7 linked regions of the Ovis aries genome follow. The protein of the gene in region 1 purifies or fractionates together with the protein of each later gene. This does not show direct contact. Links are inferred from orthologs where the notes say so. Each region holds a gene or a part of one and is shown on either strand. Other genes may lie near its edges. The genes, in order: RICTOR, MLST8, PRR5L, TUBB, FBXW7, FLNA and YWHAE.

What was found.
Region 2: the proteins of RICTOR (region 1) and MLST8 purify together in Homo sapiens (affinity purification with western blotting; 14 studies listed by BioGRID and IntAct, with this or other methods). This does not show direct contact. The link is inferred for Ovis aries from reciprocal best matches to the Homo sapiens genes RICTOR and MLST8.
Region 3: the proteins of RICTOR (region 1) and PRR5L purify together in Homo sapiens (affinity purification with western blotting; 3 studies listed by BioGRID and IntAct, with this or other methods). This does not show direct contact. The link is inferred for Ovis aries from reciprocal best matches to the Homo sapiens genes RICTOR and PRR5L.
Region 4: the proteins of RICTOR (region 1) and TUBB purify together in Homo sapiens (affinity purification with mass spectrometry; 3 studies listed by BioGRID and IntAct, with this or other methods). This does not show direct contact. The link is inferred for Ovis aries from reciprocal best matches to the Homo sapiens genes RICTOR and TUBB.
Region 5: the proteins of RICTOR (region 1) and FBXW7 purify together in Homo sapiens (affinity purification with western blotting; 3 studies listed by BioGRID, with this or other methods). This does not show direct contact. The link is inferred for Ovis aries from reciprocal best matches to the Homo sapiens genes RICTOR and FBXW7.
Region 6: the proteins of RICTOR (region 1) and FLNA purify together in Homo sapiens (affinity purification with mass spectrometry; 3 studies listed by BioGRID and IntAct, with this or other methods). This does not show direct contact. The link is inferred for Ovis aries from reciprocal best matches to the Homo sapiens genes RICTOR and FLNA.
Region 7: the proteins of RICTOR (region 1) and YWHAE purify together in Homo sapiens (affinity purification with mass spectrometry; 4 studies listed by BioGRID and IntAct, with this or other methods). This does not show direct contact. The link is inferred for Ovis aries from reciprocal best matches to the Homo sapiens genes RICTOR and YWHAE.

The regions. Positions count from the first base shown.
Region 1 is NC_056069.1:35,534,399-35,538,614, forward strand, and holds the start of RICTOR (rapamycin-insensitive companion of mTOR), read left to right. Parts: upstream 1-1,416; 5' UTR 1,417-1,438; coding exon 1,439-1,487; intron 1,488-1,658; coding exon 1,659-1,706; intron 1,707-4,216. UniProt on the Homo sapiens protein: Component of the mechanistic target of rapamycin complex 2 (mTORC2), which transduces signals from growth factors to pathways involved in proliferation, cytoskeletal organization, lipogenesis and anabolic output.
Region 2 is NC_056077.1:2,254,256-2,258,490, forward strand, and holds the start of MLST8 (target of rapamycin complex subunit LST8), read left to right. Parts: upstream 1-1,435; 5' UTR 1,436-1,476; intron 1,477-1,996; 5' UTR 1,997-2,069; coding exon 2,070-2,198; intron 2,199-2,326; coding exon 2,327-2,378; intron 2,379-2,457; coding exon 2,458-2,620; intron 2,621-2,920; coding exon 2,921-2,996; intron 2,997-3,081; coding exon 3,082-3,234; intron 3,235-4,102; coding exon 4,103-4,227; intron 4,228-4,235.
Region 3 is NC_056068.1:65,580,331-65,584,555, forward strand, and holds the start of PRR5L (proline-rich protein 5-like), read left to right. Parts: upstream 1-1,425; 5' UTR 1,426-1,563; intron 1,564-4,225. UniProt on the Homo sapiens protein: Associates with the mTORC2 complex that regulates cellular processes including survival and organization of the cytoskeleton.
Region 4 is NC_056073.1:27,415,843-27,419,816, forward strand, and holds the start of TUBB (tubulin beta chain), read right to left. Parts: upstream 2,801-3,974; 5' UTR 2,634-2,800; coding exon 2,577-2,633; intron 1,203-2,576; coding exon 1,094-1,202; intron 838-1,093; coding exon 727-837; intron 447-726; coding exon 1-446. UniProt on the Homo sapiens protein: Tubulin is the major constituent of microtubules, a cylinder consisting of laterally associated linear protofilaments composed of alpha- and beta-tubulin heterodimers.
Region 5 is NC_056070.1:5,397,794-5,401,870, forward strand, and holds the start of FBXW7 (F-box/WD repeat-containing protein 7), read left to right. Parts: upstream 1-1,277; 5' UTR 1,278-1,909; intron 1,910-4,077. UniProt on the Homo sapiens protein: Substrate recognition component of a SCF (SKP1-CUL1-F-box protein) E3 ubiquitin-protein ligase complex which mediates the ubiquitination and subsequent proteasomal degradation of target proteins.
Region 6 is NC_056080.1:80,094,839-80,098,338, forward strand, and holds part of FLNA (filamin-A), read left to right. Parts: intron 1-1,537; coding exon 1,538-1,785; intron 1,786-1,892; coding exon 1,893-1,988; intron 1,989-2,172; coding exon 2,173-2,275; intron 2,276-2,364; coding exon 2,365-2,505; intron 2,506-2,611; coding exon 2,612-2,740; intron 2,741-2,920; coding exon 2,921-3,094; intron 3,095-3,196; coding exon 3,197-3,358; intron 3,359-3,456; coding exon 3,457-3,500. UniProt on the Homo sapiens protein: Promotes orthogonal branching of actin filaments and links actin filaments to membrane glycoproteins. Anchors various transmembrane proteins to the actin cytoskeleton and serves as a scaffold for a wide range of cytoplasmic signaling proteins.
Region 7 is NC_056064.1:22,439,095-22,443,339, reverse strand, and holds the start of YWHAE (14-3-3 protein epsilon), read left to right. Parts: upstream 1-1,445; 5' UTR 1,446-1,555; coding exon 1,556-1,619; intron 1,620-4,245. UniProt on the Homo sapiens protein: Adapter protein implicated in the regulation of a large spectrum of both general and specialized signaling pathways. Binds to a large number of partners, usually by recognition of a phosphoserine or phosphothreonine motif.

The sequences.
Region 1 (4,216 bases):
ATTTCCTACAAATACACTAGACCTGCATCATTTTCAAATGCTGCAATAATCTGCATAATTCCTACTTTTATTTTTTCCCATTGTTCTTTATTATTAACGACTGCAATTGGTATGTACAAATAGCTTTTTTTAAAAACAGCAAAAAGAGCGTTGAAACAAGGAATCTAGGGCATTTATTCAGATAATTCATTATTTATTGAACACTTATTTATTATGGACAATGCATTAACGGGTAGCTGGGAAAAGACAGCAAGATATCTCCTGTTAATCAACCTCCAGTCTTATAGAACAGAAAGGAAAGCGTTGAGGAATAGGAAGAGACGAAACAGTCACCCCTCTCTTTAAAGTTAATCTAGTTTTTAATCAGCTGTGCCCCAATACCAAATAAAAAGTTAATAAAAAACAAAGTTAATCTACTGTAAAACAAAGTTGCTGGGTCTGTGGCCAGATGCCTATATAGTGATTAAAGTCTCTACACTTAGTAAGTGTTAGGTTCATCTATAAAAAATATTGGTCCACAACATCTGCACCACTGTTTCAGGAGTTACACAGAGGGAAAACCCGGACGGAGGCTTCTGCCACTACTCTTGGTTCCAGGAAGAAAGGAAACCCTTTCCCCGGGCCTGCAGGCGCCCGCGCGTGCGCGGGAACAATCCCACCCACCGCCAGGGACCACCACCCTGCACCCCTGACTTCTTCATCCTGTTCTCGGGTTCTGCTCCAAGCGGTCAAAAACAGAACTTCCACCCGACCACTTCCACTTAAAGAAGCCAGCCTGGCTGCGTGTGGCTTTGAAAATCAAACGCAAGGCTGCTTAGCACGGAGGTTTGAGCGAGGACGGAGGACAAACTTTTGTTATATGTTAACTTGGTTGGAGCAAAGCGATTCTAGGCAGAATTTAGTTACATTAAAACGGTGAAGTTTTTTTTTTTTTTTGGTATTGTTTTAATAAAATCGTCTTAATTGATAAATAAGGAAGACGGGCTATTTCAGGACTTGAAAACAGTCATCCGGGATGGTTTCAGCAGGTGGCCAGTCCGGCGCATCACGGCCTCCTCCCACCTAGCGTCGGTTTAGATTACGGTTTCCGCGGCGGCTGGACGGGAAGCATCCTCCACGCTGCAAATTCGCATCAATGGGATTCCCCTCGTGGGAAATGCCCCCTCCTGGCGGACGTGCTCCGGAGGGCCGAGCACGTCGCGGCGCCTTCCACCCTCCGTCGAAAGCTCTATCGAGATCCCGAGTCGGCATCCTATTCCCTCCGCGCCCCGGGTGAGCCGGCACCACCCGCTGCCGGCCGCCAGCCGCCGCCGAGAGGCGGGAGAGATGCCGAGGGGCGGGAGAGATGCCGCGGGGGGCAGGCGCGGCGCGCGGGGAGGGGAAGGGGTTCTCGCGCGATTGGGCGAGGTTTCCGGTGTTGTGACTGAAACCCGTCAATATGGCGGCGATCGGCCGCGGCCGCTCGCTGAAGAACCTCCGAATACGAGGTAAGTCTGCTGCAGCCCTCACCCCTGGCCGCCCGGCAACCGCCACCCCTGGCACTTGCCTCCCCCGGGCCCTGGGCGGGTGGAGCGAACCGGGGCGCTGGTCGGAGCCAGGGCTGCCACCGCTGGCCTGGGAGCGAATCGTAACTGGGGCTATGTGTCTGTTTCGCGCAGGGCGGAATGACAGCGGCGAGGAGAACGTCCCGCTGGATCTGACCCGAGGTAACGCAAGGCGCTGGCGAGGGCGTCCTACTGGGGAGGAGCCGGGGTTGGGGGCCGCGGGCAGGGACCGGCCCCGCACGGGACCTGCGCGGGTACGAGAGACAGAGCCCGAACCCGAGCCCCGCCTGCCGGCCCGCGGGAGCAAGTCGGGGGCTGTCTTCCCGGACCCATCCCCCTTCCCGGTGCCCGCTTTCCTCTCCCCAAGCCCTTTTCCGGGCCTCTGGGTGCTGCGGTGCCCAGGAGCACCAAGCGGGACTCGGCGGAGTCGCCGACCCTCTGGGTTTTCTAGACCGCGGGGGGAGCGTAGTCGTCCTATCCCGGAGCTGAAGCAGCCGAATCCCAGGGGCGGCCGGAGGGAGGTGGAGGCTGTTATTTAGGTTGCTAGAGGATGTCTGAGGGAAGAGAGACCACATCCTGCCCTCCCCGTCCCCCAGCGCCGAAGCCGGACCTGCTCGGTCCTTGCCGACTGCGTGATGCTTTTCTCCTTGCCCACCGCCCTGGGGGACCCAAAGCATTGATAAGTCAGTAGCGAAACCCAGAGCCCATGATTTCTGCGAAGTGTGTGTGTGTTTCCCTCTTGTTTCCCTTTCCCGGGCCGCTGAGACTGTAGTTGGCAAAGACCGCCCCCTCACCCTCGCTGCAGGTTCATTGTTTACCTTCTGCAGTGGCGACGGGTTTGTTTACACCTTCGGAACTGGGTAAACCCGGGTTATATTTTTAAGGATCTAATCCGGCTACTGCCAGTTTATTTTCATCAGTCACCATAACTGGAATTTATTCAATATCTCGCCGAGGATTTGGTAGTTATATACAAGGTTTTTCTTTTCTCATCCACGGTAAACAAGATTGAGTCTATTGATTCCGATGAAGTCGTTTCACACCCGCTGTAACTTAGCGTGTAACCTGGTTCAGCTGTATAGAACCAGTTTCCTTTTTGAGATCTGAAAAACACTTTGGGAAGTTTTAAAAAAAAGTCCTTTTAAACAATCTATATAAAACTTTAAAACTACGTTCTACTTGACATAATGACTTATTTACAGTATTTGTTAGATGCGAGCTTATTGTTGAGGTTCATCTATCTAAAGCATAGCGCATTCTCTAATTTGTTTTATTTTGTATATCATAATGTAAGATTACTGTTTTGTGGACTGAAAGGCTAGTTTTTAATTCAGCTACAATAAATTTTTGTAACGATATTTTATTCCAAAAGTTCAGGGACTTAGTTTCGGGTGAACAAGGTACTTTTGCAGAGTTTCTAAAATAAAATAGGGCTTAAATAATAAAAATGACAACTAATTAGGTCACTGATGCACTAAATTAGAACTTTTTTCAGCAGATAGGGTTTGAATATTAATGTAGAGAGATATAAAACTTTTGACTTTTGTGTAACAGTTTGGAAACTTGACTAAAACACACATATGAAAAGTCTGTATAAAATACGTGAGGGAAAAGATTTCCTAGTTAATTGCCTGACAAAATAAGCAAGATTCCCACAGGGCTCAATTTAGCATTTGAGTTTTGTAAAAGATGTAGTTTTAGTGATTTAATTTATATATGTGCATATATGTTTTAGATGAAAGTGAGAAGACCCTTTATTTGATAGATCTTGGGTTTAATTTGTGCATTAAAAATCTGTTTGAATGTGGTACTAGAAAATGAATTATACTTGTGCTTTAAGTTGACTTTGCTGATCTCCTATATGTAGTAGTTTGTCTGGTGTCAAAATTTGGGGTAGTAAAAAAGCTTATGTACAAATCTGAGTTGATACCTTTTCATTTACTCCAGTTTTACTCAAGTACACAGATAGCTGTATATTTATTATTTAGAATGCTATATTCCCTGAGTGTTTAGTAACCGTCTCTCTATAGGTGTTTCTAGGATAATATCAATACAAAAAGTGCAGAAAACGCTTTCCTGGACAAGATGTATTTCAGTTTAGAATGAAGTATGCACAGCTAGCTGAAACTGCAAAAGCAATATGCAACTAAGAGTGAGAGGACAGGAGAGAACTGTTCTTAAATCTTAAGGAAGTCTTGAATAAGAAAAATAATCTGAGTTAGATTCATTGTATAGTGACTCTATTGTTTGAGAAATTGCTATTCTGACAAACACTCATTGTTAGAAGAAGGCTTGTGGATCTAACATGAAAGTTCATGAGGAATTAAGCTTCTGTAATCATTTGAGAACTGTGGGGCAGTCTGGGTTGCAGCTGAAGGGCAGCTGTTTGTGGATTGGATTACGGCATGTTTTAGATAAAGTTTGAGTAACCGAAAAAATTTCTTAAATGCTGTAAGGCAGTGTTTGCTCTCATTCTCATTATTTTTATGTAACCTTTGAGAAAGTCATTGTGTAGCTGTCTAACAAAGTTCATTATAAAATAGAGGCCATGGTTATTGTAATTCCTAGAGGAGCCATCAGTGTGTAGTATAAAGTCAAATGGTTTTGAGTTGTAACTCAGCTGGATGATTGGAGGCAGTTTATTTAACCTTCATTAACTTTTGGTTTCTTCA
Region 2 (4,235 bases), on another chromosome or scaffold:
AAAGCCTTTAGGGGCAGGTCTATCATGAACTGTCTTGGCCATGGGAAGCAGAGGGGTCTGTGGGGCCCTTGATGGACAATGTCAAACAGGGAGCTGGCTGTGAGCTGGAGACAGGGAAGGAAGGACCCGGAGCAAGGAAGGTACTGAAATCCCTGGAGAGTGGGCAGGAGCCCCAGGGACAGGGTGGACACAGGATCTCTGGAGGCTGCCAGCCTTGAGGGGAAGGCAGAGAAAGAGAATGAAAGCGGGGGGTAAGAAGCTAGCAACAGTCACAGGAGCTTTCTAGGAGCAGTGCTGTCAGCCACTGTGTAGACAGACGTAGCAAGATGCATGAGAAAAGTATGTGCTGCGTTTGGCAGTGTGAGATGGCCAGTGACCTTGTGAAACTCTCACTGGAGAGCTGGGAGTAAAACATGACAGCTGACAGCGAGTCAAGCTGCTAGTGAGAAGTGAGGCTGGATTTCTGAAAGGGTGCCGTCTGGAAGGATGGTGTGGAAATGCTGAGGGAGGGACTTCCCTGGCAGTCCAGGGGTTCAGGCTTGGTGCTTCCACTGCAGTGGACACAGGTTCAATCCCTGGTCGGGGAACTAAGATCCCGCATGCCACATGGTGCACAGACAAAAAATTAAAGAAAGACAAGAAAAAGAAACGCTGACAGGAAGGAAAGAGGGAAGATTCAGGGAGGAAGGTTGCCGGGACCAGGGCCTGGGTGGATAGGCAGGGGACATGGCCTTGGTCAAGGGGCCAGAGGAAGGAAAAGGGGTGCAGCTCAATTTAGAAGCCTGGTGGGAAGATGCCCTGGGAGAGGCTGTCGCAAGATTCTTTTTATTTTTTTTCTGAGGCCACGTGTGTAGAATGTGGGAAGGCTGGATGGAAGAGAAGCCGCGAGGGACCCCAGTAATGGACGGGTCACTGGGATTAGTGAAGGGACCTGAGGGTCCGATGGGTCTGCACAGGCCTGACAGGGCCCAGACTAGGGGTTGCCTGATGTAGCAAATAAAACTACAGGACACCTAACCACACTTGAATTTCACGCAAGCAACGTAGAACTTTTTAGTATAAGTATATCCCGTGCAATATTTAGGCTGTACTCAACAAAACACGTTGCTTACCTGAAATCAAATGCAACTGGATGTCCTGTAAATTACCTGGGAATCCTAGTGGGCACCAGACGGATGGGGGGGGGGGGAGGAGGATGGTACCATCCAGCCTAGGGAACCGCTCTCGGGAGGGTGGGGTCCCCGAGAGGGGAAAAGGCTGGGGTCGCTGCTTTCGTCCCGGGGCCTGTACCGCTTCTTGCCAGGAGACAGGAGCCTTCTACCCCAGGGCTTCAGTCTCGTCCCCGCCACCCCCTTCCCTCGCGCCCCTTGGTGTCGCCCTACTAGCCCATCGATAACTCGATGCTCTGCCTTTATCGACCTGCTCCGGCTCCGCTAGCCGTCCTGGGCCGCGGCGGAGCGGGGAGCCGCCTGAAAGGTACGGGGGGCGCGGGACGAGGGCTGGAAGGCGACATCCAGGGGCCGGGAGAGCGCGCCCGGGGGGCGCTGGCTCCGCGGGACAGAGTCAGGGCGGTCGGCGGAGCGCAGGGAAGCTCGAGGGTCCAGCCAGGGAGCTCCGCCACGCCGCCCCACAGGGCCCGCCGCAGGCCCACTACGCACGCGCGGTCGCCGCGCTCAGGCTTTGCTCGCGGGCCAGTGCGCAGTCCTGCGCACGCGCGGCCCGCCCCTGCGGTACCGCGGCGCCCGCGGCGCGACTGCCCCCTGCAGGCCGCTGGTGGGAGGGCGTTCCGGCGGCGGCTCTCGGGGCGGGGGACGGAGGCAGCGGCTCGGAGCGCGGAGCTGTCCCTTGCCGGTTGCCCTGAACCTCTCCGCGCCTCGGTTTTCTCCGTGTCTAAAATGGGGATGATTTCATTATTCCCCAGCACCGAGTAATCTGCTGTAACGTACTTAGGACGTAGGGTATTCTCTAAACACTGCACTCCCTATCTCTGCTCTAGATGCTCTGATCTCTGGCCCCTGCGGGTCAGACCTAGTGCCCTGTGTCGCTCGGAGCCCTTCGGCAGCCACACCATGAATACGTCTCCAGGCACAGTGGGCAGTGACCCCGTCATCTTGGCCACTGCAGGCTATGACCACACGGTGCGGTTCTGGCAGGCCCACAGCGGGATCTGTACGCGAACTGTGCAGCACCAGGACTCCGTATCCTCCGCTGGGGCGATGGGGCGGGTGGTGCCGGACAGGATGCCCGGTGGGAAGGACGCGGCCCTGAACCCGCCGGGGTGGAGGCCTTGGAGGCCCCTGTTGGTCACCCTCCTTAACAGACCCAGCAGGTGAACGCGCTGGAGATCACACCCGACCGCACCATGATTGCAGCTGCAGGTACCCTGCCCTCCACCCCAACCCCTGGTTTCTCCTAGGTCCGTCGGCACAGCCTCACTTGTTTGGTCTCTGCTCCTAGGTTACCAGCACATTCGCATGTATGACCTCAACTCCAATAACCCCAACCCCATCATCAGTTACGATGGGGTCAACAAGAACGTCGCGTCGGTGGGCTTCCACGAGGATGGGCGCTGGATGTACACGGGCGGGGAGGACTGCACCGCCCGCATCTGGGACCTCAGGTGTGGGCACGGGGGGTGGGTGGGTGGGGAGCAGCTTGCTGCCCAGGTGGGTAGGGTGAGGGCCAGCCCAGGAGACTGTCTATGCAGGTGACTTCTTGAAGGCAGGTGAGGAAAGCAGGTAGGGCAGGGAGGCAGACCCACAAAGACCCCCTCCCCCCCACCCCGAGCAGATCCCTAGCCTGATCCCACAGAGGGGTCTGGAATGAGCTGTACCAAAGAGCAAAGGAAAGGGTCTCTCGGGGAGGAGGGGGGCACCGACGGCCACGCACCACGGACGGGGTGTGTCCCCCCATCTCGAAGGTCCCGGAACCTGCAGTGTCAGCGAATCTTCCAGGTGAATGCGCCGATTAACTGTGTGTGCCTGCACCCCAACCAGGTGAGGGGGCCGCCTGAGGCTGGGCATCCTGGGGCTCTGGAGGGCAGGGGTGCTGCCCGGCCTCACCTCCCTGACACCTCCTCAGGCGGAGCTCATCGTGGGTGACCAAAGTGGCGCCATCCACATCTGGGACTTGAAAACCGACCACAATGAGCAGCTGATCCCGGAGCCAGAGGTCTCCATCACGTCCGCCCACATCGACCCAGACGCCAGCTACATGGCTGCTGTCAATAGCACTGTGAGCCCCGGGGAGAGGGTGCAGCTCGGTGCCCTGTTCTTTAGAACCCTGTTCCTGCAGGTGGGCTCATGCCCCATGTGTCCCTGTGGCCTCTCCCCTCTCCTCCCGAGTCCTGCTTCCCCAGCCGGGGCTCCAGCTCTGACCTAGCCCCTAGAGCCAGAACCCTGGGGGTCATGCCCAGTGCAGCCTCTCGCCGCCGGCCATGGCCCATGCGGCAGACGGGGCCTCTCCACCTCCATTCTTTCCAGTTGTCCACTTCCCTCTCTCCTCTTGGTTCCAGTTTCCCTCCTCTCTCCTGACAGTGGCTGGAGCCTCTCTGACTTCCTTCCCCTGTGACATCTCCCTGTCCTTCAGCAGGAGCAGCCTGACCACCTCCTTCTCCTAGGTTAACACTGAGATGCCCCGGGCTCCTTACCAGGGCCTCAGGACCCTGCCATCTGACCCCTGGGCTCCTATCCAGCCTCCTTTTCTCCCTTTAATGTCCATTTGATCTCAGCGAATCAGTTATCCCTCGACATCTCCAAACTGTCCACTCCCAAGCCTTTGCCCTGAAGTTCCCTGTGTCTGGCTGCCCTCATCCTGTCTTGTTCTGCACATTCCTGTTGGCCAGGCGCATCCTTCAGGAAGGCCAGGCGCATCCTTCAGGAAGGCCAGGCATGACCTCCTGCCCTCAGCCCATCAGGCGTGGCCCTTGCTCAGGGCCGGGTCTCCCAGGTGCTCCTTGTCACATATCCCCGGCCCCCAGGTCCTTGTGCGTAGCCGCAGTGCTGGGTGGCAGCCCCTGGATCTAGGCCTTGCTGCTGGGTATCCTCCCCGACCCATCAGACTGGAGGCCCCGGCCTCCTGTGACTTCCCTCCTCCCTGGCAGGGGAACTGCTATGTCTGGAACTTGACCGGAGGCATTGGCGATGAGGTGACACAGCTCATCCCCAAGACCAAGATCCCGGCGCACACCCGCTATGCCCTGCAGTGCCGCTTCAGCCCCGACTCCACGTGTGTGC
Region 3 (4,225 bases), on another chromosome or scaffold:
CAGGCATGGCCATGCTACTGCCGCCTTTCCACGTTGCAGCGGTTGCCCGGAGCTGAGCCCTGGCTGCCTCTGCATCCTGGCTTGGGTGCTGGAATCCCACTGTCCCAACTGCTTCCCGTTGTGTCGCAGTTGGCCACCTGCCTCATCCCTGAGGGTATTTATTGGCGCCCAGCTTCCCTGAGGGACCTCAGGCCATCGTGAGCAGCGAGACTGAATTTGGGTATTCCAGACCCTGGGATTCCAGCCATCCTCATGCCTTCTTCCCGTGAGTCTAAGCAAATCCCAGCTGTAATGTGAGCATCTAACTTGTTATTCCTGCTTCTTAAGCAATTTTTACAGGCCAAGTAATGTTTCGTGAATTTTATATTGTTGTCGTTTAATTGCTCAGTCATGTCCGACTCTTTGCGACCCCATGGACTGTAACCCAACAGGCTCTTCTGTCCATGGAATTTTCCAGGCAATGATACTGGAGTGGGTTGCCCTTTCCTTCTCCTGGGGATATTCCTGACCCAGGGATCGAACCCATGTCTCCTGCATCTCCTGCATTTTCTGCATTGACAGGTGGATTCTTTATCACGGAGATGCCTATTAACTCATTTAATCTCCATGTTAACCCAAGGATGATCTCAGCTTAACAGGTGGGAAAACTGAGGCTTGGAGAGGGAGAAAAAAAAAAGAACCCTCATAATCTATGAGTAGTTAGTGGCAGAACCAGGATTTACAGACAGAAGGCTCATTTTGTGAGCTTGCTCCCAACAGAGTGTCTGGTCTTTGAGGGGGTCCCAGGGATGCTCTTACATATTAATTCATCTGGCATCGCCAACTGCAGCTGACGTGCGACACAGCCAGGCGACAGTCCGGGCCGGATGCCCCCTCATGAAAGCCAAGAGTTGGAGTGTTTGAAGATGAGATAGCTGCGATTCTTTTCAGCTCTAACTTGTGGTGAGCCTGTGAAAACTGATAAGAGAAGAGGAGAGCGAGAGGAAGGGTCCCTTGGCAATTCGCTATGCCTGGAAGACTGGCCTGGACCCGATCGGTCACTCCTGATGGGTGTCCCCTGCTCCCCACTGCAGGGCACCGTGGGCTGGGAGTCAGAAGTTGCTTTCCCAGCTCTGACCAGGCTGGGGGCTGTGATTAGCGAAGTCCACAACGCGCCAGACCCAGGAGGGCACTGTGGCCTTGTTTCCCGTCCTCCTGTCCCCAGGAGTAGCACAGCAGTGGCTGGTGACACACGCCATTGTGTCACACACACAGGGCCTCTTTGTTCCCTCCGTACACAGAGAGGAGGCTGGAACAATGGCCTTGAATGGCACTTTGCTCTCCCTTCTCCATCGTTACACTTGTTTTTTCAGTTCTGGCATCAGCTAAACAATTATTTCCTGCAGGGGGTGTCAGCTTTTTATCTTTTCCGCCTGTTCCTCTGCCAGTCCTCAGGGCCCAGGGCAGTGGGAACTGAGTGGACGGTCAGGCCCAGGGACAGCTGGGCCTCATCGAAATGTCATCTTCTCGGGAGGCCGAAGGGCTGTGGTACCTCACCTGCCCTACAGGAAGGAAGGAGACCAGGTAACACAGAAGCAGCTGAGAGCTTCTGGCGTGGAATAGGGGCTGGAGGGTATGGCTGAGTGTCCAGCCCGAGGAGGGTGGGTTTCTGATTTCCAGGCACCCTGCTGGCTTGAGAGCCACTGTCTGCTGGTAGACAGAGAAGCAAAAGCTGCTGAGGTCACGTTCCGCAACCCACTGAGTAGGCAAGCATGCTTCCTGTCAGACCCGCCCACTCAATGCCTCTGATGTCTCTGGGTGACCAGCAACTTCAGGGTCTTTGTGGGTTTATTGGGAAGGCTAGTTCTCTAGTGATAGCTGCCCTAACTAAGCTTTTACTCTGTGTATTGCATATGTGTACAGATGACTATAGGTATCTGACAGTATTGCTAGCAACTAGAGCAAACAGTTATAGCGTGTGCTTTCCATTCTTGCTTGATTCAGACCCGGGCAGTCTGGTTCTAGAATCTGTGCTTGCATCACCACGCTTCTTGGCTGATGTCCTTTACAGCAAACCAAGGTTATTGTAAGCTTTCACTTTGAGGGGCACTGACCTATAACAGTAGCTATATGTAACTATGTGTAATGCTAACTCCTGTGTCAGGGAGGTTCTAAATGTTTTCCATCTGTTTCCTCATTTATTCCACATAATGAGCTCTATTTATTCCACATAAACTCTGTGGGGTGGGTACTTCTATCATCTCCATTTTATAGATAAGGAAAGTAAAGTACACGGACATAAAATATCTTGCCCAGGGTCACACAGCTGTGAGGTGGAAAGGTCAGGATTTGAACTCAGTTTTCTCTAGAGCCTTATGTGAATCTGAAGCCTGCCTTACCCTTCGGCTGGTTGGGAGCTAGTCCCCTTCTCTGGATCACGAGTTCTGGAGGGTGGTGCTCTGATCCTGGCTTTGTAGAACGTCAGCACTTGACTTGTCAGCTCCAGGAATGCAGAAGCTCCTCAGTGGTTTGCCTGTTGTTCCTTAGCTTTTGCCCAGTTCAGTGAAGACGGAATTGCCCAGTGGTGACAGGGAAGGAATTTGGAATGATAATAATTGCTCAACGAATGCCACTGCTTATTTGCCCAGCAACAGGCTAAGTAAGTGAACAGACTGAATAAGCAGAACTCACGAGGTATATTCAGGAAGCCAGCTTTATTTGTGTCTATTGTTGCCTCTAATTTTTTTGTGTGTATATGCTGCCCTACTCTTTCCTTGCCATGGGATGAAAATTAGGGAAGCTCCCTGACTTCTTCTTTATATACATACACACACACACACACACACACACACACACACACACACACACACATATATATATTGCTGCTAGATGTTATGATGGGCCTTTTTATTTTATTTTTTTAAGTCTTGACTTCATTTGTTACAAAATTTTTTCTGTTTTATTTTCTGGTATTTTGGCCAAGAGGCCTGTGGGATCTTAGCTTCCAGACCAGGGATCGAACCCACACCCCGTGCACGGGGAGATAAATCTGTTAACTACCTGGGAAGTCCACTGTCTCATTCTACTGATTACCTTTCTAGTTCCAACACTGGTTCAGCTCAGTAGCTGATACATCGAGGTCTGTGCAGTAACCCAGACCTTCAATATTGCATCCAGATGGAGACTAGTCTTCCTCCCCGAATGGCTGGGCCTGGTGGGGGTTAAACCTGCTTCTTTGTCTCCTGATACGATGTTGCGGATACTACAGAGAATGTCCTCCTTCCTTAACTTTGGGGATTTCTAAACTGCCAGTCCCTCGAAGCAGGTGCCTAAGATTCTTTGCTGAGTCCCCAGCATCTGAGCAGTCTGTCTGAGTCAGCGAGGGCTGCCAAAACAAATAGCACAGACTAGGTGGCTTAAACAACAAAAATTTATTTCCTCACAGTTCTGGGGGCTGGGGGGTGGAAATCAAGGTGTCCGCAGGGCTCATTTCCCCTGAGGCTCTCTCCGTGGCTCACAGATGGCCTCTTCTCGCTGTCCTCACGTGGCCTTTTCTGTGTGTGTGTACCCTGGTATCTCTTTGTGTGTCCAAATCCCTCTTGTAAAGATTGGACTGGGGCCCGCGCTAAATGCCTCTTTTTGACTTAATCATCACGTTAAAGCCGCATCAGCAAAAATAGTTATGTTTCAAGGTTGGGCACAGGGCTTCAACATATAAATTTGGGGGTGCATAATTCAGCCGTATCAGACATTCTCGGCTTCTTTCTCCACTCTTCCTGGTGATTGTCTTAAAAAGATCTATACAAGGACTTCCCTGGTGGTCCAGTGGTTGAGACTCTGGGCTCCCCATGCTGGGGGCCCGGGTTCTGGCATGGTGATGCAGGAAGAGGTGGGACATGGGGGTTATTCTTACAACAAATTCCTACCAAGGAGGGCTGAGTGCTGGGGTGAGGGGAGCAAAGGGACACATTCCATTCCTCTTAGAGCTGCAGCCCAAGGAAAGGAGCAATTCAAACGCAATCTTGCAGAAAGACAGAAAAGGAAATTAGGGAGGGATTGGGGAAGTTTGGATACAGATCAAGTATTCAGTTATTAGAGAATGATTCATTTTTTTGTAGGTGCTATTAGGGTATTATAGTTTAGATTGGAAAATAACCCTCAGCTTTTTTTTTCTTTTTCGGAGACGCAAGCTGAAATGTTTTGAGTTGAAAGGTCACACTGCCTATAATGTGCTTGGAAACAGGAG
Region 4 (3,974 bases), on another chromosome or scaffold:
GCGGAGGCAAGTGGTGACTCCACTCATGGTGGCCGAGACGAGGTGGTTCAGGTCTCCGTAGGTTGGTGTGGTCAGCTTGAGGGTGCGGAAACATATGTCGTAAAGGGCCTCGTTGTCAATGCAGTAGGTTTCATCAGTGTTCTCCACCAGCTGATGGACGGAGAGGGTGGCATTGTAGGGCTCAACCACAGTGTCGGACACTTTGGGTGAGGGCACCACGCTGAAGGTGTTCATGATTCGGTCAGGATACTCTTCACGGATCTTGCTAATGAGCAAGGTGCCCATTCCGGAGCCAGTACCCCCACCCAGTGAGTGGGTCAGCTGGAAGCCCTGCAGGCAGTCACAGCTCTCGGCCTCCTTCCGAACCACATCCAGGACCGAGTCAACCAGCTCGGCTCCCTCTGTATAGTGGCCCTTGGCCCAGTTGTTGCCTGCCCCGGACTGACCTGTGATGGGGTTAAAAGGCAAACTTGTTCAGTCAAGTTTGAAAGATACACAACCCCATTTCTACCTTTCAACTTTTGGATTAAGGCCAGTGGATTTATCTTCCTTCTTACTCCCCGATGATACATCTGCCCCTATATAATTTGCTATCTAAATTACTACCACCACTCTCCATTAGATTTAAAAACACAAGTCTGTATAAACTCAAGTACAATCATTTCTAACTCTCACTGCACCCAAATAACTCGATTAGCACTATCTATTGATATTTCCCTAACTCACCAAAAACAAAGTTGTCTGGTCTGAAGATCTGACCAAAAGGACCTGAGCGAACAGAGTCCATGGTTCCGGGTTCTAGATCCACCAAGATAGCACGAGGGACATATTTGCCACCTAGAAGAAATAAAGTAGAAGAGTGAAAACTGGAAGACATAGAGATAAATAAATTGGGGCCAAGAGAGCCGGGGACCCATATGTGTGATTTCAGACACTGCCACCAGGTGGCAGCAGAGACACTGGGAAAAGCGAGAAAGGTCTCCAGTGAGTGTAGATAGATTCATTCAAAGGGGGTAAAAGGTGTCCCGGGGAGGCAGAGACCCCAAAGAAGTGGGAGAGATGGGACCCCTGCTTCCCGGGCTCTTGCCCTCACCTGTGGCTTCATTGTAGTACACGGAGATGCGGTCCAGTTGTAGGTCGCTGTCCCCATGATAGGTGCCGGTGGGGTCGATGCCATGTTCATCACTGATTACCTCCCAGAACTGCCAGGGAAGAGCAAAGAGTCTTCAGCATCTCAGGGTGCAGCCAATTATGCTCCCCTACTGCCATTTTAGCTCCAGATTCGCCTGTGGCGGGCCCTCCCCAAAGATCTAGCATTTCTTCTGCCTGCCACACCCTTCCCCTAGCCACATGCACCTTCGGGGAAAAGGCAGCTTTCACTGCCTGGGACGTGAGATGCTGTGTGGCTTAAAGGGTCCGGGGATTGCGCGGGGTGGGTAGATGGAGGTAGTCACCCTGGGCACAAAGAGACGGGGCGGGGAGGGGTGCAAAGAAAAGGAGGCACTGCAGCAGCCCACCCCGCCCTGCACGTGACCGCGGCGCACGCACGCGCCAGGCGGCCGACAAAGGGAGGTGCCGCGCGAGGGCGGGGCCGAAGGGCGAATTCCGCGCGCCAGGGGCGGGGCTTGGCTCGGGCTCGCGCGCCCCCCGCCGGCCAGCCTGGCCGCATTGTCCCAGCGCGCCAGGGGCGCCCGGGTCCCGCCCTTCTGCTACAACGTAGCAGCCGCACTTCCTCCCTGCCCCTCCCCCGCTACACTGTAACCGCGCGCAAAAAAAAAAAAAACCCTCCCCCTTGGCCTCGAAATTTCATTTCTTTGCTAGCTTTTAACCCCCTTGCTTTAAATGAGGTTTTTCTTCCTTTGTCCTATTCTCTAGCTCTGAGGAACCCCTTCAAAGAATGGACTCCCTTTCCTTCCTCGCCCTTTCTCCCTATCTGTCCACGCCCTTAAGAGTCTGTTAAGGGGAAATAAAAGGAACAAATTAGTCTAGCACATATTAGCCTTCCATGCACGAAAAACTGCGGGACCGCCCCTTGGGGATCGCGAGCGCCCGGAGATTCCTGATCATTTGTAAAGGATATCGCCCAGCCCACCTGGCTCAGCGCGCCCCTACATTTGGATCTGACCTCTCGGCAGCTGCCCGCCATCCTCGCCCCTTCCCCCCTCTGGGTTAGCCCCACGAAGCCCCGCCAAGGGGGATGCACATGGGGAAAACCTCATCCAGCTTTTGTCTCGGGCCGTTTCCGCATCTCCCTCGCTCCCCGGTCCTCGGACCGTTAGGAGATCCCCTTTCTAAGTAAAATTTTACAGAAACTCGGTTTTCCCGCCCCCTAACCCTGAAGGGTGCTTTTAACAGCTTCCCCAAAATAAGCCTGCCAAGAAAAATAATTCCTCATTTTTCAAAAGCAAATCCTAAGGTTCAAAGGTGCATTTATATATAAAAGTTTTGAGGGGCAAATCTGGACTAAGAATGGAAGATGCAAACGTTCTACAACCATCCGTCATAATATACCTGTTTGGATTTGTTTTTTTTTTCCTTAAAAATAAATACAGTCAAAAGAGGTTAAAAATCCTTACCTTGGCACCGATCTGATTGCCACACTGACCGGCCTGGATGTGCACGATTTCCCTCATTGTTAAAATTTATTCTAATCTTTTTGCTCGCCTCAAAGTATGTACGGGGCAAAAAAATAATACGGAATTAGTTTTTCTCTGCTGCTGGTCGCAGGGTGAAAAGATGGAACGGGACCCGGAGGCTGAAGCAGCGAGGTCCGAACGCGGCGGCAGGAAGGTTCTGAGAGGGAGAAAGGAGAGGGGAGGGCGCGGGAGGAAAGGCGGGCAGGGCGGGGCGCGCGTGCGCGGGGGCCGGGAGGCGGGAGAACTCTCCGCGCGCCGCGGTGGAGAGACAAAGCCTCACTAGGCTGGCCCTGATTAGTCCGTGCCGGTCCTGTATCACAAGTCCATTGGTCCTTGCTGGACGAGCGCAGTCCTGCCTGGGAGTTGTAGTTCTCTATTGTTGTCCACGCTGCAAAATGAAAGGACGAATGGGTGGGTACTGGGTCTGGGGGTTTTGGTTTAGGTGTTTTGACTGAAAAACGGCCTGGCGCTAGGGTTCCTTCCTCTATGCCTGACTCTTCTGGTATCAAAAGAGAGTAGTTTTAGCAGGGTACAGGAATTGGGAACCCTGGTGTGCCAGGCTTTGGAAGGTGGAGTGAGGGCACGCCCTGAAAGCTCCCCGCTGCGGTAGCTCTTGGGAAGACAGGACTGCTTAGCTCAGCGAAAACGGGGAGAAATGCGGCACCCTGATCTGCTATCTAACAGCTGGTCCCTGGTGACCCAACTGGCATGAACTCCAGTGAGCTCCGGCTCCCCCAGATATCTCGGGAAGGAGGAGGGCATTGCCTTCCTGCTATTTCCTTGGGAGCTTTCTAACGATAATATTTAGAAAGAAACAAAATTGCATCAAGGACTTTTCAGTATAAAAAGTAATTGTTTGGAAGGTATGTTCAAGAATAGAGAAGCAGATATGCCGGAAGTCTCCGTCCATGTGGGGAATCTGCGCCTTAGAGCAGCGTTTAACACAGTTTTGTCAAGAGGCGAACTGTGGGGTGAGATACCTGATAGGCACTTTGATGAAGTCAGTGTTTTTTCAACTCGCTGATTTCACTGAGAGGTGGTTGACCATTGCAATCTTTCAAGAACCTCGGGATTAAAATAAAAGTAGGGAGGGTGATGGGAAAAAAATGGATGAGCTCAAATCTGAGTGGCATGTTTCTTCTCAGGGATTAATTCAACTTGAGCGATATTAAATGTCCACCAAAGGAGCTAGGATGAAGGATTAGCTCACTGGTGGCTCAGGCGGTAAAGCGTCTGCCTACAATGTGGGAGACCCGGGTTCGATCCTTGGGTTGGGAAGATCCTCTGGAGAAGGAAATGGCAACCCACTCCAGTACTCTTGCCTGGAAAATCCCATGG
Region 5 (4,077 bases), on another chromosome or scaffold:
TTGCATCTGCAGATGAGGATTTAAAATTCTGTGCAGCAGACAGTACCTCCAGCAGGCGAGTAAAAGGTTACTGCATTATTTGCTTGTTTGTTTTCACAGCCTTTATCTACAAAAGGTTTTGTAAAGATGCAGTGTGAAGTGCATGCCTGGTTTTCGACATTCTGGAAATTGATTTAAGTTTACATGAATTTCAAAAGGGCAGTGCAAGGTGAAGGAAGAGGCGATGCTAGCTCTTTTTAGATTTAAACCAAAGAAACTGAGCATGAGACATACGCAAATAAAGAACCTACAGAAAATAGGAAGTTTTTTAATGCTTTTTTAAAAACATTAAAAAAATTTTAAATACATTTTACAATTTTAAAATACATTTTTAATACAAGATATTTTTTTTAGTTCTTAGACTTCTTCCTCAAAAAGAATGCTGTTAACAAAGACTGATAATTGTGGGTCTATGAATGTTCATGAAGTTACATTTGTTTTGAAGTCTAATTGTTTGGGAAGAAACTATAATTTTTTATCAATGTAACCCTCTCTTCTCCTGGAAATTATAAGGTGGATTATAATAACATGATGTGTGTATATATATATATATATATCTTTATATATTATTGGCAAAAAATCCTAGAGGATGGCTAACATACTTAACAGTGTTTATGTTTTCAGGGTGGTTTGTGTTTTTTCAATCTTTTTAATGAGATGCAGATAAACAGGTGGGAGAAGATTTAGTATCAAAGCAACCAGGTTTTTGGTGGCTTATCATCTATTATCAATACCTGTCTATAAAGTCACCCACCCTTTCCTTCTCATTTTAACTCTTCTGACATTTATGATGGCAGGGACCTCCTTGGATTCTCTTTCTTAGTTGCTCTATCCTTATCGACACGACTGTCTTTGATATAGTATTTTATTGCTCCGTAATTCTCAAGTTCAAGTGCAGTATTGAGAAGGAATTTTTTTACTTTGGCTATCAACCACCATCCTGCTCTCTTCAAGCCATACTCAGAGATTATTATTAGCTACTGTCTAAATTTTGTTTAAAAAATAGTTATGCCTATGTCTTTTTTCTTTTAGATTGAATAACAAGATTGAAAACAATCCTATAAATTAATCTACAATATAGAAGTAAAATCAGCTGTTATTCTTACTTTGAGCGTTTGGCAGGCTTCCTGAATTGTAGAGTCAGAAAGGGTCAGCAGTTCTGATTGGTAAGTTAAAGAATCCGTCCAGTAATTTGCTCCCTGTTGTTTCTCAAAGCAATGCAGCAGCAGTTCTTTTCCAGATATTGAGCGGTTCTTGAACTGAGTGTATGGGGACAAGCAAGGGTGGGGCTCATTCCTGTTGGTTGTTGAGACAGTGGGCATTTACAGAGGGAACAGGTTGGATAGGCTGAGCCGGAGGAGTAGGCAAACAGATCTAAACTGATGGAAGACAGAAAGAGTGGTTAGTATAATTTGGGGATATTTTATCTTGAGTTTGCTCCTTTATTAAGTACTTGGGCTTTAATATAAAATAGTTTGAAATATTAAAGCACCTTACCTTCTTTCTAAGGAGTAGCCGGGAGACTTCTGTTTTTAATATTGAGTTCTTCTTGACAATGAGTTTGTGGCTGGTATCTTCTGTAGGGAAGCTATTGTTTTATTCTTTTTTTTTAACAGTGTTTCTTTCAGCCTGAGGGCTGCAGAATGAGGCAGTTAGCCAGTTTTGAGTATACATGGGACATTACTAGTTCTGAATTTTTAAGTTAAATTCTTGTCTGATGAACAAGTCAATGTGTGGCTGTGGCTGCAGCGTTGTTTCTTCCTTAATGAAGAGGTTGAGCCGTTCGACCTGCTGCTCCGATCTGTTCTCTGGTAGCCATACATCAGACCAGTTGCAGAGATTATCCACCGAATGTCCTAGACAACCAAAGGTAACTACATAGATTTATTTCAAATAAAAATATGCAATTAAAATTGATGCCTTATAACTAGGACCAAATAATTAAAAATAAAAGATCAATTAAAGATGTTCTTCGCAGTTTTCTTGACCTTGCAGTAGCTATCCAATATCATTTTGTCATCATCAGATTGTGTAGCAATGGAAATGCACTGCAGTAATTGATTTTGTAATAGGATCAGGTGATTTACTAGCTGCACTGACAACCACTTGCTTGCTCGCTCTGAGCAGTAGAGCTCTCTAATGGATGTTGTGATTGCAGCCCGGAGTTGCTGGGAGACTGCTGGCCACTTAAAGCAGCAGCATGTCTTTTTAAAAATGAATAGTGAATTTTTCTTTTTTCTTTCCTGTGCTTTAAGTTTTGGGTGAGCTCAGTAAATTTTATACTTAGTTTGAGTGCCCCCATGAAATGTTAGAGATTAGGTGTTATTTCATCCATCAATTCATCAAAAGTAGCCTTGAATATGATGAAATATAATCTCTGCTCCCTACTCCTAGTTGAGCGTCAACATATGTATCAACATACTTTGGTGTTGATCGTGAGAACACATCTCTAAACTATAACAATTTATGTTAACCTGTGTCATCTAAGTGAAACAGAATATTCTTCACATATGTACATTTCACCAGCTTCAAACTCTAGCTATAATTGTGATACTGGCATTGTGGTGAGTCCTTGTACTGGGGGTTTGTTAGAGCTGTCTATTCTTTTCTGGTCTTCTGCTTTCTTAGTGTTCTCATAGATGTAACAACATTTAGAAAATCGAGTTGGACCAATTCTAAGGAATGTTGATGGAAACATAGACGCTATTTTAAAGTAGTGTTTAAGAATATAAGTATTTAAAAACCTGTTATCCACGATTATGAATTTTCAGTGATTATAGTTTAATAATCTTTATTTTCATCTTTTATGCATTTTAAAACAATTGATTATAAATATAGAAGTATAAGACTAAAGCTTAAAATAGAACTAGTGTTCTGTAAAAGACTTTCAGAAACTGGTGCCTAAGATTTTGACGACTTTAAAGTTCTGCTTAGGGCTTTACATGAGGAAGGAAAATTATCTCCCCTCTCTACATTCCTCACCAACTCCTCTACTTGTTTAACTATCTAACATATGAAGTATTTTGTACAGAACTTGATATATAAAAGTGCTGAATTCTCTTTCCTTCCCTAATTTACATTATTTAACCATGTATTTGTTTTTGCCATGATAGAGATGCTATTTCTTTCAACCACATCTAAAACATTTACATTAATTAATCAGTGTTAGTAATTTGCTATAGAAGAAATTGAGCATAAAATTGCCATTGTATATTATAGTCAGACCTCCCTGGGAAGGCAGCTTTTCTTTGTAATGTACTTAAATACTTGCCCTTGAAAGATGAAAATATTTCCAGTATCACTCTGCACTTTTCCTAAGTCCAGATACTTAAAAGTTTAATTATAGAAGATGGTAATATAATTTAAACACTAGAGTTTATAATCTTTTATTATTCAATGGTAACAAGTTTATTGCCCCCTGCCCCCTCCCCCCCAAAACCTCTATGAACACTGATAACATGAGGATAAGGGTGTGAATATCATATGAGATTTCATCAAAGATAATGTTGAAATTTCATATATATTGAAATGTTGAATGGTAGATTACCAACAAATCAGTCATTGATATAAGTTTCACTGAAGTGGTGTACATTTAAATAGGAGGGAAGGAAGTCAATACCGAAAGTGTTGACTACTTTTTTAGAAGATTGGTGATAACAGATAGGAGAGAAGTGTGCTTTGTAATTCAGCAGTATTTCATGTGAAATAAATAGGTAATTCAGTTGGTGAGGTTCTAACCCTAGTGGAACTGCCTTTTATTAGAGCTCTAGATCAACCATTAAAAGACTTGGATTTAATCAGACTCCTGTCACTGATCTACTTGATGACTTTAATCAGTTTATACTCGAACATTTTTAAGGTTCCTTAAGCATGCTTCTAAAATGTCCACTAAAAAGAAATCAATGTACTCATTCCAGTGTGAGGTATTATAATACTTGACCTGGAAGCAAGTTGAAGTTAGGAGGAAGGATGAAATTTCTTAAGCAGGTTTTAGGTGATATTAATGTTTTTCATGTTTTTTTGATGGCGGGGGAGCAT
Region 6 (3,500 bases), on another chromosome or scaffold:
GCCAGGGATGCCAGCAAGAGGCCACAAGCACATGGGAGCCTCTGGAGGCTGGAGGCCTGGACCTTGGCCAAGGTGGCCCTGGAGAAAGCTAGAGGATGGCAGGGGTTTGATGACTCCGTCCAGGGGGCCTTGGGGTCTGAGATGACAGGCCCGTGTCCCTGGGCCAGGGGATAGGACCTTGGGGACCAGGGGCAGGGTCAAGACTGGGGCCGAGAGAGCGGTCTTGGTTTACCTTGGCCGCCATGTGCCAGCGGAGGCAAAGAGCCCAGTTGGGGAACCGAAGTCACTTCGGTATCAGTTGCAGGGCTGGCTTGGGCTAGGCTGCTGGTGGGTGGGTGGGGCTTGAGGGGAGAACCTCAAGGGGTGGGGGGCTTCAAGGATGGAGCAGCCCAGACCTGATGAAGAGCTGGGTGCTGGGCAGGGAGCACGGGCAGTTGGGGTCAACTGAGGTTTGGGCCCAGGCCACTTACTAGATGGTGGGTCCAGGTTCCGAGCCAGGGAGAGCAGGTGTGGCTGTGTATGAGGTGAGGCCTCCCAGTTGGGGGTGGGCGGTGGGGGTCCAGGCGTAGTGTTCTGGAGCCCCGCAAAGTGGGCACCCTCAGTGGACAGTACAGTTCAGGGGCTGGCCAAGTGGCCGGCTGGGGACCCCCTTGAATTTGGCCCTGGGGTGGGTTCGGTGTTGCCAGCTGCTTCCCTGGCAGGGGCCAGGCTCCAGAAAGCACTCGCTGCCAGGCCTCACGGTCCCCAGCCCCCCGAGCCTCCATGGCTGAGCCCAGATCATAACGTCACTGTCCCTCCCCTCTGCTCTCACCGCCTCGCAGCCGTGGCTCTGGCTTGGGCCCCCTGCCTCCCTGCCCTATGGGTACTGGCCCCCCTGCTGCGCTGCACTGCCTGGGTGCTAACCCCGCTGCCTTCCTGCTTCCCTGCTCCCGGTTCCCTGCCTGCACCAAGCCATGCCCGGCTGCCCCTTCTCTGCAAGTCTCCGGTCGAGCGAGCCTTCTCAGTTGTCAGGAAACTCCGATTGCAACTTCAGGCCCCAGGGGTGGGGAACAAGTGTCACATGCCCCACGCTGCAGCAGGACTCTGCCTCACTGCGTCCGCACACGGCACTGGGGGCCAGGGCATGGCCACAGGGGTGAAGGCAGCCCGAGGCTCAGCTGTCAGTCAGAATGGTCCAGGGCACCACTGGCTGAGGCCAAGTTGGCAGGGGAGATGGCAGCAAATGCTTAGGCCCTGGCAGTGGCCTCGGGGCTTTCCAGGCCCTTCTTCTTCTCAGACTCTTGGATGCCAACCATTGGGCTTTTCCCACATGACAGGGATACCCCCCGAGACAGGACTCCCGGGCTTGAGGTGGTTCAGGGGAACCTTTCCTGCCTTCTGAGAAATCACTCACCATCCCAGCTTGGGGGGCGGGAGGCCTGGCTGTGCTTGGTGGTTGGCAGTAAGAGGCCTGGGCGGCTGACACGTGAATGGCCACGGCCTGAGCACCAAGCTCATGCCCCGGCCCCCCCTTCGGGGACCCACCCTGCCCCACCAGGTGCTGGCATCGGCCCCACCATCCAGATAGGGGAGGAGACCGTGATCACCGTGGACACCAAGGCGGCGGGCAAAGGCAAGGTCACCTGCACTGTGTGCACGCCCGACGGCTCTGAGGTGGACGTGGACGTGGTTGAGAATGAGGATGGCACCTTTGACATTTTCTACACGGCTCCCCAGCCCGGCAAATACGTCATCTGCGTGCGCTTCGGTGGTGAACATGTGCCCAACAGTCCCTTCCAAGTGACGGTCAGGAGGGACTGGGGCTGGGTGGGGGTCTGGGCAGGGACCTGGCTCGCCGCCCCCACGGGGCTCGCGGGTTTGGACAGCCTCGAGCTCTGTGCCTTGCTCTGCAGGCTCTGGCTGGAGACCAGCCCACGGCACAGCCACCATTACGGCCTCAGCAGCTGGCACCACCATATACCTACGCCCAGGGGGGCCAGCAGACCTGGGTATGGCTTGCCCTGCCGCCTCCAAGCCCCCCCCGCCCTCGGGGACACTTGGGGATGGACCAGCTGGGTGTCCCGTGAGGCCCTGTTCCACTATCTTCGAGGGAGGGACCCTGGAGCCTATCACTCGGGACTCCCTTTCCCTCCAGCTCCTCACTCAGGCCTTCTGTGTCTCCGCCCCCCGCAGGCCCCAGAAAGGCCCCTGGTGGGGGTCAATGGGCTGGATGTGAGCAGCCTGAGGCCCTTTGACCTTGTCATCCCCTTTACCATCAAGAAGGGCGAGGTCACTGGTGAGTGCAGCTGGGAAGGGGCTAGGGAGCCACAGAGGCCGGAGGGTGCCCATGGGCTGCCCTGACTCAGGCCCCCCTTTCCCCTGCAGGGGAGGTGCGGATGCCCTCAGGCAAGGTGGCACAGCCCGCCATCACTGACAACAAGGATGGCACCGTGACTGTGCGCTACGCCCCCAGTGAAGCTGGCCTGCACGAGATGGACATCCGCTATGACAACATGCACATCCCAGGTACGTCCACTCAGCATGCCAGACCACCTCCTGGGGGGGCAGGCTGTGGGACAGACTTGGGGATGACGGGAGGCCCTGGTCCATGTGGTCCCTATTCCTGCTACAGGAAGCCCCCTACAGTTCTACGTGGATTATGTCAACTGTGGCCACGTCACAGCCTATGGGCCGGGCCTCACACATGGGGTGGTGAATAAGCCTGCTATCTTCACCGTCAACACCAAGGATGCGGGCGAGGGTGAGCAGCCCCTCTCATCGTGACCTGCCTGATTGAGGCAGGATGCCGTCATCTGTTGGGGGGCTGGACACAGGAGATGCTCCCCAAACAGGGCTCCCTACCCCACCCCCAGCCTCTGCTTGCATGGTTGGTGCAGTGTCCCCGGGCACAGTTTGTACCCTCACTCACAACTCTCTCCAGGGGGCTTGTCCCTGGCCATTGAGGGCCCCTCCAAAGCAGAGATCAGCTGCACCGACAACCAGGATGGGACGTGCAGTGTCTCCTACCTGCCCGTGTTACCTGGTGACTACAGCATCCTGGTCAAGTACAACGAACAGCACATCCCAGGCAGCCCCTTCACTGCCAGGGTCACAGGTAGGGGACGGCCTGCAGCGGTGACAAAGGAGGCAGCTGGCGGTGGGGGGGGGGGCGGTCTCCCTCTCGGTGCCTGGACACACAGTGACTGACCCCTGCCAGGTGACGACTCCATGCGCATGTCCCACCTGAAGGTGGGCTCTGCAGCTGACATCCCCATCAACATCTCCGAGACGGACCTCAGCCTGCTGACTGCCACAGTGGTGCCCCCCTCAGGCCGGGAAGAACCCTGTCTGCTGAAGCGGCTGCGTAACGGCCACGTGGGTAAGAGGCTGGGCTGCAGGGCCTTCCGAGAGGGAGGGAAGCTGGGTGGGGGGTAGTTGCATATCTTTCCCTGGCTGACAGCCCCGCTCTGTGCCTAGGGATCTCGTTCGTGCCCAAGGAGACAGGAGAACACCTGGTGCAC
Region 7 (4,245 bases), on another chromosome or scaffold:
CATTGTGGTGCCTTCTCTCCTTGCATATCATGAGCTCTAAAGCGTGGGCTCAGTAGTTGTGGCTCATGAGCTTAGTTGCTCCGTAGCATGTGGGATCTTCCTAGACCAGGGATTGAACCTTTGTCCCCTGCATCGGTGGGTGGATTCTTATCCACTGTACCACCAGAGAAGTCTAAGTCTCTTATTTTTTGGTTAATGGTACTGCCACTTCTTATCCCAATGACTCAGGGTGGGAAGGTAGAAGGTTAATTTTAATATTTTTCCCTTCCTAATATCTTCACATCTGATTAGCTACAAACTCTTGTGGTTTCCCTCTGAAGTACTATTCCTATTTGTCCTTTCCTTCCCATTTTCACTGCTATCATCTATGACCTTTCAGTGGTATTAATAGCCTGATAATTTATCCTGTTCTTTAATCACTGCTATACAATATTTAATAATCATCTTAAAAAATAATTATGGTGTCATCCTCCATGCAAAATCATCAAAAAATAGCTTCCTTGTGCCCACTGGAGTGCAAACCTTTCAGCTTGCCATCCAAGGTTCTTCATAATTTAGTTTCAACCTTTTCATTCCACAATTAGAAAAAAATTTTTTTTAACATATTTGGCTGCCACTGATCTTAATTGTCCTATGTGGGATCTAGGTCCCTGGCTAGGGATGGAACACGGGGTCCCTGCACAGGAAGTGTGGAGTCTTAGCCACTGGACCACCTGGGAAGTCTCCTTATTCTACATTTATTGCAGACTTTACCACACATTTTACGTTCTGATTACCTGAGCTTTAGTCTTGCAACATACCGCATACTGTATTCAGTACAAGGTGCTAGGAATCCACTGGGAAGCAGTACAGACCAATGGATTCTTTCCCATTCCTGCCTTCTGGATCTCATTCTGATCTCGGCCCTACTCTTCTGCACCTTGGACTCCAGACCAGACTTTTCTAAGAACTTCTCTGTTCCTACCCCATGGTGGGCCTATGGGGGAAAAAAGGCCAAGGGAGAGGAACAGAAAAAGACTGCAAAGTGCGAAGGTGAAGTGTGAAAACTGGACCTTCCCTTATCAGCTACAGCAGGGCCCTGAATGAGGCCCAGGGCTGAGCTTGGCTGAGAAAACAGGAGGAGTCAGTTTCAGAGAGGATGGCTTGTCATTACAAAAACCTTCACAGCCTCTGGTTTCTCTGCCCGCAGTCCAGGCTCTGCCGCTCACGTTCTTCTGGAGCGGTCCAGGCCGGCCTCACCTGGCCTCCCTCGTTCCCTCGGGGCGCTCTCCCTCCCCGCAGAAGCAGTTCCCGCCTCAAGCGGCCGCTGAGCTCTCGGAGGAGGGGCGGCTAGCTGTTTCTAACGTCCTCGGGCGCGGAGCACCCGGATCCGCCCCCCGCGCCAGTTGCCAGGGAGCGGTTGCCATAGAGCTGAGCAGTTGTCCGCGTGCGCAGGCGGAAGTCCCGGATTGAGGCGCCGCCATTTTTCCTGCCCGGACGCGGAGCGAGAGGCTGAGAGTCGGAGACGCTATCCGCTTCCATCCGTCGCGCAGACCCTGCCGGAGCCGCTGCCGCTATGGATGATCGGGAGGATCTGGTGTACCAGGCGAAGCTCGCCGAGCAGGCTGAGCGATACGACGGTGAGTTGGGGGGGCAACGGGGGGCTGGAATTCTCGGACCCTCTGCCGCCGCCCACAGAGGCTGGGAGCGGGAGACAAAATGGCGGCATCATCGCCGAGACCGGCCCGGGGACGTGGATTCGGGAATCAGGAAATAGCCTGTGGGCTCCCAGAGCGGTAGGAAGCTCCAGGCCCAGGAATTTGACCCCTTGGGCGTCCCCATCTGCAAACACAGGAGAGCTAGGAGGCCAAGGCCATGGGGTGGAGGAGTTGGTTGTAAAATGGCGGCTGGGGGGGAGGGCGAGTCCTGGGGCGGGGGAGGGGGAGGAGATGGCGGGTGCTGTCTCCGGGCGAGCAATCCCCAGGGGAGCTTCTGGGCCGGTTTTGGGACGTGGTGAACAATTGGGTGGCGTGATGAAGGAAGAAACACCCGCCACATGGGGGAGAGTGGCAACCGGGAGCTGGAGCGCGGGCGCCTTTCAGGGAAATATGGCGGGTGGGGGCGGTGGCTTTTCCCCGGAGGCCCAATGTGGGGCGGCGGCTGTGGAGTCTCACAAAAGAGGACCCTTACGAGCCGAGGGCTTCTCCGGGCTTGTGGTGGGGGGCAGCCTTAGCCGGGGGTCGGGGGAGGAGGGAGAGAGTGGGAATCACTGCAGTTCATCCTTGGGCGGAGGCCAGCTGAGATGCTACGATCGGATTTCCTTTCCTTAGGCCGGCACACCTTGTAGTGGCGTTTTTTAGGTTTCCCGTTCAATCTCGCTTTCTTCTAGGGAGCTCTAGAGAAACGTCCCTCACGCTCCTTCTCCTCAGACTTAGCCCGGAGAGCTCGAAGTTTCTGTTAGCATTTTCCGTAAACTGTAGAACGTGGAACAGGAAACAAGGAGCCCCTGGCTCGCTCTCGGTGCCTTTCCCATGCCTGTGCCTCAGTCCACCGGTATTTAAAAATGGTGACTTTCCTGTTCATACGCAGCATTATGACAAATGGAATGACCTGGTGAAAAATAAAGTGTTTTCAAATAACCTTTAGTGGCTATTTCGGTTGACTCCCCTGGCTTAGAATGTGTGTTCTTCCTTCGTTGGGGATCTTTACCAGTCCCAAGGTACTCAGCAGCGACTTGGGTTTTTCTATTAAGAACGTAAGGGATCTCGGCAGATCCTGTTTTGTTCCCTCCATTTTTAATAAACGGTTTTATGTACAGATTTGAACAATTTTTCTCCTTTCATTGCTCCTTTGTTTTTAAAGGTGCCATAGTCATTTTTCAGAACTTTATTGAGATGGCCCTTGTGTCTGTTCGGTCAGTCCCAAACTGCCGCTTTTTTAAATTGCCCCTCCCGACTTGGGTCCCCCTCCCCCCATTTTGGACCTGGTTACTTGAATTGACTCCACATCCGTTAAACTAGCATTATCAAAACAAAAAATCATATATATGGTTTTTATGTTTTTAATGCTGTTGTGGGATGAGATATGTCTGGATTCAGGTGTCATTGATCTTGAATTAAGCCACTTCAAAATGCTGGCGTGGGGACTTTACTTGAATGCCTTTGGTCACGTGAATAGCCTCAGGGCTAGTCCATGTGTGTCATTCATTAGGATTTGGGAATTTGAAAATTAGGAAAGAGCTCGAACTCAAAATTCAGTAAAGATCTCTAAATTTCGTTTCATAAATCTTTAAATTGCTCTTTGTATTGAACAAGATTCTTGTTAGTCGTAGGGGGATATGATGGGGAAGTACAGCTCAAGGTCAGATTTGTCTTTATGTCGGTATTTAAAAGTCAAAACAGCTGTAGGTGTACTTGTAATGAAAGTTTTTTTCTTTTCCTCTTGCCCCAAACAAGTTCACCTCTTAATCTATCACTGCCCTTGGGAAGAAACTCGAAATTATATTGGAATGTTTTCTCTTCTTTAGGGATTTAGTCTCTGAGTAAAACTGCTGTGATCGCCAGAAAGGTGATCTTGTTTCTGCAGGACTTTATGTTTTTGTTTTGCACATTATGTTGAACCTAACACTACACTTTTTTTTTTTAAGAACTTGTTTTAAAAACTGTTTGGGTAACTTCAAGTAAGTGACAGTTCAGTGTGAAATCATATTTTGGAATTGAGTATTGAGCGTTTTTGACCAAAGGCTTAATTGCTTATTCAACACAGGACTGTAGAGCCACATCCTTAACGTTGATTAAATGTTAGAGGTGTCCTTCAGGATCAAAAGGTGGTGTGAGGGGCAGGTGGGATATAAGATCTACCAGGTAGCGGAACTCCTTTGATTTTTAGACACAAAATTGGAAGGGATTCATTGGAAAGGAAGAGGAAGACAGTCATTAGGAATCAGTCTGTACCTGTGTCCATTCCTTAATTGGGTGTAATAATTCAGTTTTGTTTGTGGTAACAAAAAATGATTCCGTGGTTTTAGTTATCAATTTATCAAGTATGGGGAAGGTGAAAAATACATTTGATGATTTGGTTTGGAGGAGTTGGGTATAAATACTGGCTTTTCTTCTTGTTTCTGCAGTACTTTATGTTTTTATTTTGCACATTATGTTGAACCTAACACTACACTTTTTGGAGAATTGGAATCGATTGATAGAGACTATTTAATGGTACTGGAGGACGAACTAAGCTGCCTTCAGGAAAAGGACAGTTTGAAATTGC